Danio rerio: one gene and its partner. The protein of the gene in region 1 purifies or fractionates together with the protein of each later gene. This does not show direct contact. Links are inferred from orthologs where the notes say so. Each region holds a gene or a part of one and is shown on either strand. Other genes may lie near its edges.

Region 1 (6,687 bases):
TATTGCTTTCTTTCAAATTTATCAGAATTAATTTAAATAAAATGTCTGCCACTATTGGTTAAGAATATTAAACTAATTTTAAAGGAAGAACAAGATTATTTTTCTAAACGCTTTTAAGCTAAAACCTGCTAAACTTTTCAGAAAGCTTAATATCTAATGTTGATTATAAAAATAATGATGAGTTTTTTTATTTTTGTTTTCCTAAACCTTCCTAATGTCTTGATTTCATTTTAAAGCACTTTGTGTTTACATGTTGGCTTATCCTGTAATGTCAGAGTTTGCTCATGAAGCTGCCCGTCATATGCTAAAACAAGTTGTATATAGAACTTAAGACAATAACAAATTCAGTGACATCTCAAATGTTTCCTGCTTCTGCATTGATTTCTGCGATTTTCAGCTATTACCGCTTTATCATACTAATGTATGCACAGGGTTGTGTTTTAAAAATGGGAAACATATTAGTTTGCTCTTTCCTGTGTATGTTTGTTAGCCTGTCGTTGAATGTGTTTGGCCTCTCTGTGTATTTCTTGATTATTATAGGCTGATGCATGCTTGAGATTTGATTGGATTTCCTGATTGGGGTGCTTTATGAGAGCTTCACTCGGTGGACTGCGTTATGAGTGCATGTCTCTCATAAAAAACACCGTCTGAGTACAAAGTGTGTGTGTGCATGAGAGTAATTGTAGCGCTCTGCATACATGATGTTCAGATTTTATGAGCAAATCTCCTGTTATGTAAGCTTTTCTCTGAGAGAACTTTCTTTTTGTACAGTCTTGCGATTTACTGTTTTGCCAATGGTGTGAAATACAGCTTTGTATGTTTGCTGATGAACAATTCAGATTGTTGTTTAGAGAATTGCTGGTGTATATGGAGCCCTGGCGCCCCGCTCGAGTTTTACACGACTTTTATACAGGGGTAATAATTAAAAAAATAATAATAATATATGGTAATTTTCTAATGAAGTTGAGGGGTTAAAAGAGAGCTGAAATCCAGTCAGTAAAAGACTCTTTTTGTATTTGTATTGTGTATAGTTTGCTAACAATTGTGTATATGTGCCTGTACATATTGTGAAGGGGACGTGCTCCTTTTTTTTTTCTCCTCCAACTTGGACAGAGTTACTGTCTCCATTCAGGAGAAATTGCGAGCCAAAATGTTGACATGAGTGAAATGGATCATTTGTATCTGGAAACAAATAAAGCTATAATTTTAACAATGAAAACTTGCTGGTTTGAATGTTATATATCTAAAGAATATGAACAGTATTTTAAAACAATGGATGTTTCAAAATCTTTTTTATTTATTTATTTTTTTTATTTATTTTTTTAAAGGAAATGACAAATATCTTGCTTCTGCTTGTTACATATGTTTATTTTTGTACTCATTTCGGGATTTAAAAAAAATGTATTTAAGTTTCTATGGCTGATTTTAATTTAGGTATATATATTTCCTTTTTTCAATTTAACCCTTGTACACTGTTAACTGACTACCCTTTTGTTATGTTCGAGCTGAAAACATTCACTGAATTAAACTGCTGTAAAACTGCATCAGATAAGTATTTTTTTCAAAATTATTATTTTTTATAAATCTGTTAATCAACCTCAGTCCTGATCAAAACTACTAAATTGTTTAGAAAATTACAGGATTTGAACTCTTTAATATGCAAATTCATAAATGACGTCACTGATTTGGTGAAAAAACACATAAAATTATGTATTTTTAATACATAAAAATACATACGTGGGCTTTTTTACTTATAACACAGTCTTGCATGTGAAAGATTAGTAACAACATTGGCTTTGATAGATTGTTAGATTTTTATTTTTTTTCTCCATATTTTACCGGTGGTGGATGTTTTTGCCCCATTGACTTCCATAAATGTGTATATGTGCCTGTAAATATTGTGAAGAGGACATGCTCACTTTTTTTTCCAACTTGGGCAGAGTTTTTTATATCTGAATTTAGGCCTATATATTTTCGGATTTAATTTAACCCTTGTGCACCAATCAAATTGACGACGTTTTTGTTATGTTTAAGCTGAAAACACTTTACTGAATTAAACTGCTGTAAAAATGCATCAGATAAACATTTTGTCAATTTTTTGCATTAATCTGTTAATCAACCTCAATCCTGATCAAAACTACTAAATTGTTTAGAAAATTACAGGATTTTAACTCTTTAATACACAAATTAATAAATGATGTCACTGTTTTGGTGAAAAAACACATAAAATTATGTATTTTCTAAACAATTTAGTAGTTTTGATCAGGACTGAGGTTGATTAACAGATTTATGCAAAAACAAATGTTAAAAATATTTATCTGATGCATTCTTACAGTAGTTTAATTTAGTGGATGTTTTTATCCTGAACATAGCAAAAGGGTAGTAAATTTGCCTGGAGAGTATTGTTGAGTTTTTAAAAAAATTAAATAAAATTTAAAGCATTTTTTTCACAATATCTGCCAAAAGATTTGTCAGCAAAAATCATTCTGCTAGCCAAAACACAGAAAAGTTTATGAGCAAATTATAGACACAAAATCATTTCAGAGTGGATTAAAACATCCCTAACAGTACATAAGGGTTAATTTATCATTTTAGTATGCTGTTTAATTAGTTTTTTATGCCTGTATAAACTCAAAAAAGAACTTTTGCTGCTTGTTCAAATTATTTAAAATGAGCCGAAATGGGACAACTTAATTGTTTTAAGTTAAATCCACTTAAATTTGTAAAAACAAATTGGTTAACTTAATCGACTTGTGTTGAGACAGCATGAATAAACTGTGTGGAACCCAGCATTTTTGACAGTGTAGTTTTTATTAGTTAAATGTTGCATTTGCAATTAGCCAAAATATTATTATTTAATAGTTCATGCAATACATTTTTAATGGTTAAGCTATTTTTGGTTAACAATAAAAACCTTGATATGAGAAAGTGAAGAATTAAAAAACCTCGAGAGAAACCAGGCTCAGTTGGGCACGGCTAATTTCTCTTCTGGCCAAACGTCTTCTGCAGTCTAGGCGCCAGAGGCTGGAGAAAAATAACAATCTGTTAAAGTTTTACATTTAAAACTGTGGCTTATTGTCATTTATTGGGCTAATAAAAAACTGGCCAACACATAAAATTTTCCTCAGTTTCAGAATTTGGCCATTTGAATAAAAAACAAAAAACCATAACAATAATAATGTATGCTTCACGATTTTTCTAGGTTCTCGTAAAAAAGTACATTTGAAAATTCATTGATAACAACAATAACCTAATAAGTATTAATATGGACCACTTTTGGCTCTTCACAACTTTTTTTCAAGAATAAGGTCCAAGAGTTAGAATAAAAGTTGCTTATGAATTGTTTTCTCTATAACAACAATACAGTGAAAGTTTCGCTTGTTCTTAAAGCCTTTTCGATGGGTTATTTTGATAACTTATCATGGAATAAATAGGACAAATATTGGACCTTTGTCAGTGGAGTTTAGGTCTTTCCCGATTACTTGTAGCTAAACACAGTAGAAATAAGTTATAATTTACTTATTTAAAGTAAAAACTTTTGGAGAAAATAAAGTGAAAAAGGTCAATGCTGAGGAGAGTTCAATCTTACAAGTGTTTTTTTCCCCTTTTTCCTTCACTTTCGTCAATTGGAGAAGTTTGTTCCTCACCACTGTCGCCACTACCTTGCTTGGTTTGGGACTTGTGGAGCTGCGCATCGATGGATTTGCTTTTCAGTGTTTGGACTTTCAGCAGTAAAATTAAACTGCACTGAACTGAACTAAACCAAACTTCAGCTCTAAAAACTGGACTGACACTATTTCAGTTTACTTGAACTTCTATTTTTAAGCTGCTTTGACACAATCTACATTGTAAAAATTCTATAGAAATAAAGATGAATTACATTTTTTAATGATTTTTTTATAGTTGCAATACAAAGTGTGTTTACAATTTTATGAAAATTATTGTAGCCTATATCTTATATTATAAATAGCCTATTTTCTTAAGATTAGGAGAAAAAACTCCCTATAAAAAACTCGATAAAACTATAATTGAATATGGAAGTTAAAAAATGTATCTTATGAAGTATCTTCTCGCTGTATAAATCTCTGCGGTTGGAAAATAGCAATGTTTTTTGGATGTTCAATAATGTCAGTACGACGTTGAGAAAATAAAGTAGCTAAATATAGCATAAATAAGCTGATTTGGTGTGCATATTATTAGAGTTTACCAATGAGGATATTTACTCACAGTAGTGGCGGCCTCTGATGTCCAAATGTCCTCGTGCAGTCGGTCCCATTTCAACCGCACGAGCTGCTGTCAATACAGCGCTGAGCCTCAGTGCGCATGCTCAGAACCAACTGAGGCGAATGTGCGTGAGGTGACAGCTGTCCCGATGATATCGATGAACGGTGAGAATGTTTTTACTAAAAAACAGCCAAACAAGCAGTATCACGTTAATTCCTGTGGATGTATTATGTGTGTTGATGATGAATGCAACAATGTCGGCTTGTTCGAGGGATAATATGACGCTTGTTGTGATGACCGGAGCTTGTGCTAGCGGTAAAGCTAAGCGCGAGCACGTTTAGAGGATCTAATGTTTGAATATGCACAGATTATTCCTTTCGTTTGAATCATTCGTTTGATTGTTGATTAATGAAGTCATATAGCCTATTGTCGATGTGAAATTCTCGATATTTTCAATTCATGCTAGTGGTTTGCCCTCATATGTAGTGAATTGGGGGTGGGGCGTCCATAACAGCATGTCTAATATATATTATGTTATGTGATATTCTTCTCTCTGATGCATGGCAGTATCCAGCAGTGATAACAACCTTCCCCAGAACAGCCACGGCAAAAAGCAGAAGAAGAAAAACAAGAAGCACCGCAAAGCAGCAGTAGCAGCGGCAGTGGAGATCTCTAGTTTGGAGCTGGGGTGAGTGTGTGTGTGTGTTCAACTGGGCAAAATCGAGATCTGGGTTTCTGCTCTGTGAGATGCTGCTAAAAATATATAGGAGGGTGGCCATGGGAGTCACTTCTCCAGATAAGCATATTGACTCATGGCCCTCCCTCCTGGTCCATGCACGTGGAGCCTATTTTAACACATCCTTGGAAAAAAGATCTGAACAATACACATCAGGTACATACTGCATGTATGTGTGTTGTGTAGATGATTAAAATATAACATTGATATAGAGCTTTGCAATATTACTATATATATATATATATATATATATATATATATATATATATATATATATATATATAGTATGGACAAAATAAAAAGTATCATCTCATATTACGCTTTATTGTTTATTTCCCCTGCATAATTATCACATTCTCTTTGTATCATATTCTAAGAAGGCATTATATTTATATTAAAATGCAAGTGATTTAACTGCATTAGTATTAAATTTAATTAAATTAAATACAATATATATCACATGAGCAAAATAAAAAGTTTACCGTTTCATATTATGCTCTATCATTAATTTTGTGGTATCAAAATGTGAGAAAGTTGGAATTTTGAAAAATCTGAACAACACACACCAGGTACATACTGCATGTATGCGTGTTGTGGATAGTAAACACAAATTGTGCACAGGTATTGTCCAAAATAATTTTTTTTTGGGGTAATTATTAGTTTGGCACATGAAATTTCAGTACAACATGAAACAACCTAAGGAAAAAGGCAAGTGATTAAAGTATAACAACAATGATATAGGGCTGTGCAAAATGACAAAATGTATAGTATGGACAAAATAAAAAGTCTATCATCTCATATTACGCTCTATTGTTTATTTCCCCTGCATAAATATCATATTCTCTTAGTATCATATTCTAAGAAGGCATTATATTTATATTAAAATGCAAGTGATTTAACTGCATTAGTATTAAATTGATATAGGGCTGTGAAATTTGACAATATATATCACATGAGCAAAATAAAAAGTTTACCGTTTCATATTATGCTCTATCATTAATTTTGTGGTATCAAAATGCGAGAAAGTTGGAATTTTGAAAAATCTGAACAACACACACCAGGTACATACTGCATATATGTGTGTTGTGGATAGTAAACGCAAATTGGGCACAGGTATTGTCCAGAATACAATTTTTTGGGGTAATTATTATTTTGGCACACATGAAACAACCTAAGGAAAAAGGCAAATGATTAAAGTATAACAACAATGATATAGGGCTGTGCAAAATGACAAAATGTATAGTATGGACAAAGTAAAAAGTCTATCGTCTCATATTACGCTCTGTTGTTTATTTCCTCTACATAATTATCACATTCTCTTAGTATCATATTTTAAGAAGGCATTATATTTATATTGTCAGCATGACATATACAGTTTAAGTTGTTGTGCACTGAAATTAATGAACAATATTATAATGTTTAAAAAACTATGTAGGCTTAATGCTTATAAATAATTCTTTTGATGTACCTCATTAATCAGACAACGTTTTGAGAGATTGTGCTAATCAATCAGTCTGAAAAAAAGTGTTACTTTAAGGAAATATTTTGTAGATATGATTATTTTGGTGTCGTTGCGCACAGATTAACATCTAAAATTCACTTATTTTGGCTAATTATTAATGTCAGACACTGAATTTCAGTACAACACAAAAACTGGGGGGCTGCTGTAAATATTTAGTTGGAACAGCGTTACTTTTAAACTACGTCCAATGGTGCAACACAAAAAT
Region 2 (6,587 bases), on another chromosome or scaffold:
GCCTCCAAGTTTCTCTAATTGGTCCACTGTTTTGGTACTAACAGTAATGAGCGCTACTGCGTATAAAAGTTTACATTCTTCTTTTATATTTTGCCCCACCTCTAAGTTCTTCTGATTGGTCCACTGCTTTGGTACAAACAGTGAGTGTCACTGCATGTTAAAGTTTTTTCTTTTTAACTTTTTTTTTTTTTTTTGTCTCTCGTTCTTTTTATCTTGCATTCCTTTATCTTGAATTCTTATCACCAAGTTTTTTTTTATCTCGAATTTTTAAAAATTATTTTGAGTTATTTTATTCCCCTTGTGTTCTTTTAACTTGGTGTTCTTTTAACCTGGCGTTCTTTAAACCTGGCGTTCTTTAAACCTGGCGTTCTTTAAACCTGGCGTTCTTTAAACCTGGCGTTCTTTTAACCTGGCGTTCTTTAAACCTGGCGTTCTTTAAACCTGGCGTTCTTTAAACCTGGCGTTCTTTAAACCTGGCGTTCTTTTAACCTGGCGTTCTTTAAACCTGGCGTTCTTTAAACCTGGCGTTCTTTAAACCTGGCGTTCTTTAAACCTGGCGTTCTTTAAACCTGGCGTTCTTTAAACCTGGCGTTCTTTAAACCTGGCGTTCTTTAAACCTCGCGTTCTTTTAACCTGGCGTTCTTTAAACCTGGCGTTCTTTAAACCTGGCGTTCTTTTAACCTGGCGTTCTTTTAACCTGGCGTTCTTTTAACCTGGCGTTCTTTAAACCTGGCGTTCTTTTAACCTGGCGTTCTTTTAACCTGGCGTTCTTTTAACCTGGCGTTCTTTAAACCTGGCGTTCTTTAAACCTGGCGTTCTTTAAACCTGGCGTTCTTTTAACCTGGCGTTCTTTAAACCTGGCGTTCTTTTAACCTGGCGTTCTTTAAACCTGGCGTTCTTTAAACCTGGCGTTCTTTAAACCTGGCGTTCTTTTAACCTGGCGTTCTTTAAACCTGGCGCTCTTTAAACCTGGCGTTCTTTAAACCTGGCGTTCTTTAAACCTGGCGTTCTTTTAACCTGGCGTTCTCTTAACCTGGCGTTCTCTTAACCTGGCGTTCTTTAAACCTGGCGTTCTTCTAACCTCATGTTCTTTTTACCTCAAGTTACTTTAACCTGGTGTTCTTTTTACACTGTGTTCTTTTTACCTCATGTTCTTTTCACCTTGTGTACTTTACCTTGTGTTCTTTTTATCTCGTTCTTTTTATCTCGAGTTCTTTTTACCTTGTTCTTTTAATCTTGTGTTCTTTTTACGGTGAGTTCTTTATACCTCGAGTTCTTATTTTGAGTTTTTTAACCTTGTGTTCTTTTTATCTTTATTTTCCCCTCTATCTCGTGCTTTTTTTTTTTTTTACTGCAAGTTCTTGTCTCGGGTTCTTTTTACCTCGTGTTCTTTTATCTTGCGTTCTTTTTTCCTCTAGTTCTTTTTACCTTGCATTTTTTTACCTGTAGTTCTTATCTCGTGCTCTTTTTACCTCGTGTTCTTTCTACCTCTTGTTATTTTTATCTTTTGTTCTTTTTACCTCGTCTTGTCTTTATCTCGAGTTGTATTTGTATAAGTTTTTTTTTATCTGAGTTCTTTTTATCCCCTGTTCTCTTATCTTGAGTTCTTTTATCTTTTGCCCCGCCTCCCAAGTTCTTTTAATTAGTCCACTGCTTTGGTACAAACAGTAATGAGCGCCTCTAAAAGTTTTTAAATAAAAGTTTGTTTATCCTGACACAGCGTCTTAACAATGCAGCACTTCAAAAGACTGAATACATTTAAAACTGCTTCTATCACATTTGTTTATTTATATTTTTTGAAAATTATATGATATACAAGTTAATATGTTATTCCAAAATAAACATAAAATTGACTTTAACTTTGAGAAGTTGAAATGCATAAAATCTAGCGTTTTTTGAGGCCTATAAAAATCCAAGCCGACTAAAATATAAAAAGTCCGATCCATAGTCTTTTTCACTTGCAATCATTAAAGACATTTAAAAACAAATCAGATGCTAAAAGCCAGAATTCTGGCTTTTTGATTGTTGCATCTATAAGGACGACCATATATGAAGAGCTGAATTCTGATTGGTTGTGGTGTTGTTGTTGTTGTTAGTCTGCTGTTGTCATGGAGATCCAAGCTGAGGAAGTTCCTAGCGAAAAAGCTGCGACAGGAAGCCAAACAACTCGATCAGGAAGCGAGGTAAGCAATCGTAACAGTTTGCTTGATGCGTAATTATTTATGCACGTTTAATTATCAACTGTTTATTTTTAATGGGTGTTCAGCTCGGATGATGAGCAGAGTGACACCGATGAGAAGGAGAGCAAGAAGAAGAAGTCAGAAGAGAAGAAAGAGGAGGAAGATGAAGACGAGGCGATGGAGAAAAAGCTGACAGAGCTGAAAGCAGAAGAGTTTGCTGAGCTCAAACGGTACAGTTTTAGCATTTGATGATTATTTTGGTGTTATGTGAATTTTCTTTATTCTTTATTTCTACAGCGCCTTTTACAAGGTAGATTGTGTTAAAGCAGCTTAACATTGAAGTCCTAGTAAATTGAAACCACTTCAGGCCAGTTGTTACACTTGGAAGTTCTGTTTAGTTCAGTTAATGTTAATTAATTTATGTAAATGTCACAGCTGAAATGCTGAATTTACACGAGAAAACCCAACAATGCGCAATTTTACCAAAGAGTGTTGATATTTTTAAGCAATAAAACAAAATGGCCATAACAAGATGTATGGATGTGTGTTCTAGCGAAGATTTTATCCTGTTTTCACGTTATTTTAGGTGATTTTTTTTGTTGTTGTTGTTATTTTAGTTTTTTACTTTTTTTTATAAACTAATAAACAATAGATTTATAATAATAATAATAAATAATAGATAAAAAATACAAATATGCAAATTATATATTATATATACAAAATATATGAAAAAAATGACAAATAACAGATTTTTTATAAGCTTTTTTTATGAACTTACACATTGTTTATGGAATTAATAGATTTATATGAATAAATAATAAATAGAAAATGATAAATGGAAACCACAAATCTACTCTTCTTCTTCTTTGGCCTTAGTCCCTTACGCCCTATTCACACGGGGCGTCAGCGTCAACGCTTCCCATTCACTTTGAATGGGTGACGTCAGGCGTTGCCGAACTGCATTGTGGATCCGTCGGCGGCGCTTCAGAAGCGTTCCTCGCTGCAGAAGTTGGGACCAGCTCAACTTTTCAAGCGCCGACGGAAGCGTCAGCCAATCAGATCGCTGTATGCAAATACACCAGCTCAGACAGTGGCCTATTGCTGACTGAATTTCATTGGCTGACGCTTCTATGACGATCGTTTCAGCTCCAACTTCAGACACGCCCTCTGTCAAGCGTTGATGCTGAAGCCCCGTGTGAATAGGGCGTTATGGTTGCGGGGTTGGCTCTTTGGAACAAGTCCTCCATTTAGACTTGTCCATGTGATAAGGACTTTTTTACACCTTCCGGCCGGCCTGTCGTCTGGGCCTGTCACCCTCATACACTCAAACACTCACACACTCATACACTATGGACAATTTAGTCTACCCAATTCACCTGCACCATGTCTTTGGACTGTGGGGGAAACCGGAGCTCCTGGAGGAAACCCACGCGAACGCAGGGAGAACATGCAAACTCCACACAGAAATGCCAACTGAGTCGAGGTTCGGCCCAGCAATCTTCTTGCTGCGAGGTGACAGCACTACCTACTGCGCCAATGCTTCGCCCTAGAAAATAAAATCTACTAAACAAATAATATACGACAAATGATGACAAATAACAGATTTTAAATGAAAGCTCTCGCTCGGCCCTTGGTCTAACCCACACTGGTCACAGCTACCAAGCCGACCAATCACAGAGCTTGTGTTACGCAACGTTGCGAGGTGTTCGTACATTTTTTTTTGAGAGGTTTGTGTCAGCGTCAGCATCAGCCACGGCGAGAGCTATGCCACCCGAAAGCTGTGTCGGAGCATATGCATAATGCAGAAGTGTAAATCAGCCGTAAAGGCTCTATCTTGACCATCCAAACGCAAAGTGCAGGGCGCAAAAGCATTAAGGGCGTGTCAGAATCCGCTTTTGCTTTTTTAAGTACGGAAAAATCCGCTTTGCGCCGTGACGCATGGTCTAAAGCCTGGTTTATACTTCTGCGTCAAGTGACCGGCGCAACCAACGCGCTTAGCTGTGCATTTATACTTCTGCGCGCTGTCTCTGTTGGTCTGCATTAACACTTCAGAAACGCTAGTTGGCAGTGAGGTGTTAATGTTCCTCTGTGTCGAGTTTCTTCGCTGCTGTTTTGCTTTTCCTGAACACTTCCTGGATGTACAAGTGACTCAAACTCGCTTATTTTGAGGCAGGAACCGGCGGACGTGCAGCAACTTTAACTATGAGGTAAACACAAAACAAAACTTTCCATCCGGAGCTCCTTCACGGGACTCCACACTTGTAAACAATCGCTCCATTTGGGCTAACGCCGCTCGCGCGGCTCTCGGTCCCGCCCAGACTCGTCAGCGCTACAAAGCCGACCAATCACAGAGCTTACGCAACGCGTTGTTGCGACATGTAGTTACATTTTTTGAGAGGTGCATGTCAGCGACGCCTACGGCCATGGTGAAGGGCTATGCGTCAGCGCCGTAGCATACGCCGGTGTTTGATGCAGAAGTATAAATCAGCCTTAACAGGGTTGAGCTTATTCTCTTAATGAGTTATAGGTGTGTTTTGAGAATAAACCAATCAGAGCCTCATCTCCCATTCCCTGTAAGAGCCAGTTGCGCTGTGCCATAGAGCGCGAATGCATTTGCTATTTAAACTGCGTGCTGCAAAACGTCAAAACGACTCTTGCATCAGGCTGAAGCAACAATTGCCTTGCGCCGGGTGTAGGATAGGGCCCTAAGTGTGTGTACTGTGTATATATATTATGTATATATATATATATATATAAATACACACAGGCCAACATATATTTGTGGAAATGTTTATATATAATGTTAAATTAATTTATTTTTAAATCTAAAATGTGAAATGATAAAATAATATTAGCTAAAATTGTTGCATAATTTAGTTTATATATAGTTTCTGTGTGTGTGTGTGTGTGTGTGTGTGTGTGTGTGTGTGTGTATCCCATATGCATATCAAAAATATATAATACACAAATATTTTATCAAAACAAACTCGGATGTAATTAATCTTTGTTCAGCACTTATTTTTAGCTAGTAACAACATTAGCCTTTCATTTTTCACCAAATGTGTGTGTGTGTCTGTGTGTGTGTGATCAGGAAGAAGAAGAAGCTGCTGAAGGAGCGTCGTAAGCAGCGGGAGCGTGTGGAGCTGAAGATGGATCTTCCAGGAGTGTCGATCGCAGACGCTGGCGATTCCTCCATGTTCAGCCTCGGCAGCATCAGGAAGAGCCAGGCAAGAAAAGCACCGCATCCCAAATGACAAACTATACGGCAGTGGTCTGGACACAGACCTGGTGCAGTTGCAGTCTTCGCTGCATCCGATGCCCACACTTAACCCCACCCCTCACAGTGACGTCAATAGCTCCATTGAGCGCATTGTGTCTGACATTGCAAGTTCAAGACTTGCAGTTTCAGCTTGCGTAATCGAGGCTGCATCCAGATACTTTTGAACTATGCACTTTGTACTCACACACTCGACAGCATAGTGTATGAATGTAGTGTCGTCCCAATTGGAACACTAATGATTTTACTAACCGGAAATTCAAACCACATCCAGACCACATTTGACGGTTGCCAAATTGCCGAATAAATGCGCAAACTACCAAATAATAATCGTAATAACCACGTTCACCACCAGGAGGCGGTATAATCACTTATGCAGGAGAATTGCTTTCACAATCCAAAATAAATTAAGTAATCAAAGGTCAGCACCCCATTGCTGCACCCTGTTAATCTGTAGCCCCTCCCCTTCACTAGCAGCTCCGCCCCTTTTACTACGTGAGCAAAGCTGTGACCGCTGCTTATATTGTTTATACTACAAAGTGGCGCAGAATAGTGCAGAAACTCTGATCCTGCTCACCCTGACTCTCTCTCTGTGTGTGTCTGTCTGTCTGTGTGCGTGTGTGTGTGTGTTGTCCTGCAGGGTCTGCATCAGCTGGCTCAGGGTGATATGTCTGCAGCAGACGCTCTGCTGGAGGATGACGAGCAGGAGGATGTTCATCTGTCTGATGAAGAGCAGGAGGACGAGCGCATGTCTCTGGCCTCAGACCTGGACTCTGATGACCTGCAGGAGATCCAGCAGAAGGAGGAGCAGATGCTCAAAAACAAGCCCAAGAAGAAGAAGAAGTACGGCTCCGCTGCAGTTTCTCTTTGAAAACATTAACAGTTCATATGAAACTACGTTTATAAATAAAATTGATGTGTTTGTGTGCAGAGTGTCGTTTGAGCAGCAGGATGATGGTGACGAGGACAATAAAAACGAATTGCTTGTCGAGCTTGAAGGAAAAGACGAGAGGAAGGAGCGCGAGACCAGCATGTGGTTCAGCAAGGTGAGAATCTGTACCGCTATACTGGCTAAACAAACTCAGGATTGCTGAATTAGTTTCAGGCTAATTAAACCAAACAAGTGCAAT

The links.
Region 2: the proteins of srpk3 (region 1) and ftsj3 purify together in Homo sapiens (affinity purification with mass spectrometry; 3 studies listed by BioGRID and IntAct, with this or other methods). This does not show direct contact. The link is inferred for Danio rerio from reciprocal best matches to the Homo sapiens genes SRPK3 and FTSJ3.

Annotation. Positions count from the first base shown.
Region 1 is NC_133183.1:9,841,410-9,848,096, forward strand, and holds the start of srpk3 (SRSF protein kinase 3), read left to right. Parts: upstream 1-2,848; 5' UTR 2,849-4,252; coding exon 4,253-4,388; intron 4,389-4,791; coding exon 4,792-4,912; intron 4,913-6,687. UniProt on the Homo sapiens protein: Serine/arginine-rich protein-specific kinase which specifically phosphorylates its substrates at serine residues located in regions rich in arginine/serine dipeptides, known as RS domains.
Region 2 is NC_133197.1:3,319,742-3,326,328, forward strand, and holds part of ftsj3 (pre-rRNA 2'-O-ribose RNA methyltransferase FTSJ3), read left to right. Parts: intron 1-2,096; coding exon 2,097-2,183; intron 2,184-2,266; coding exon 2,267-2,410; intron 2,411-5,271; coding exon 5,272-5,407; intron 5,408-6,097; coding exon 6,098-6,300; intron 6,301-6,388; coding exon 6,389-6,503; intron 6,504-6,587.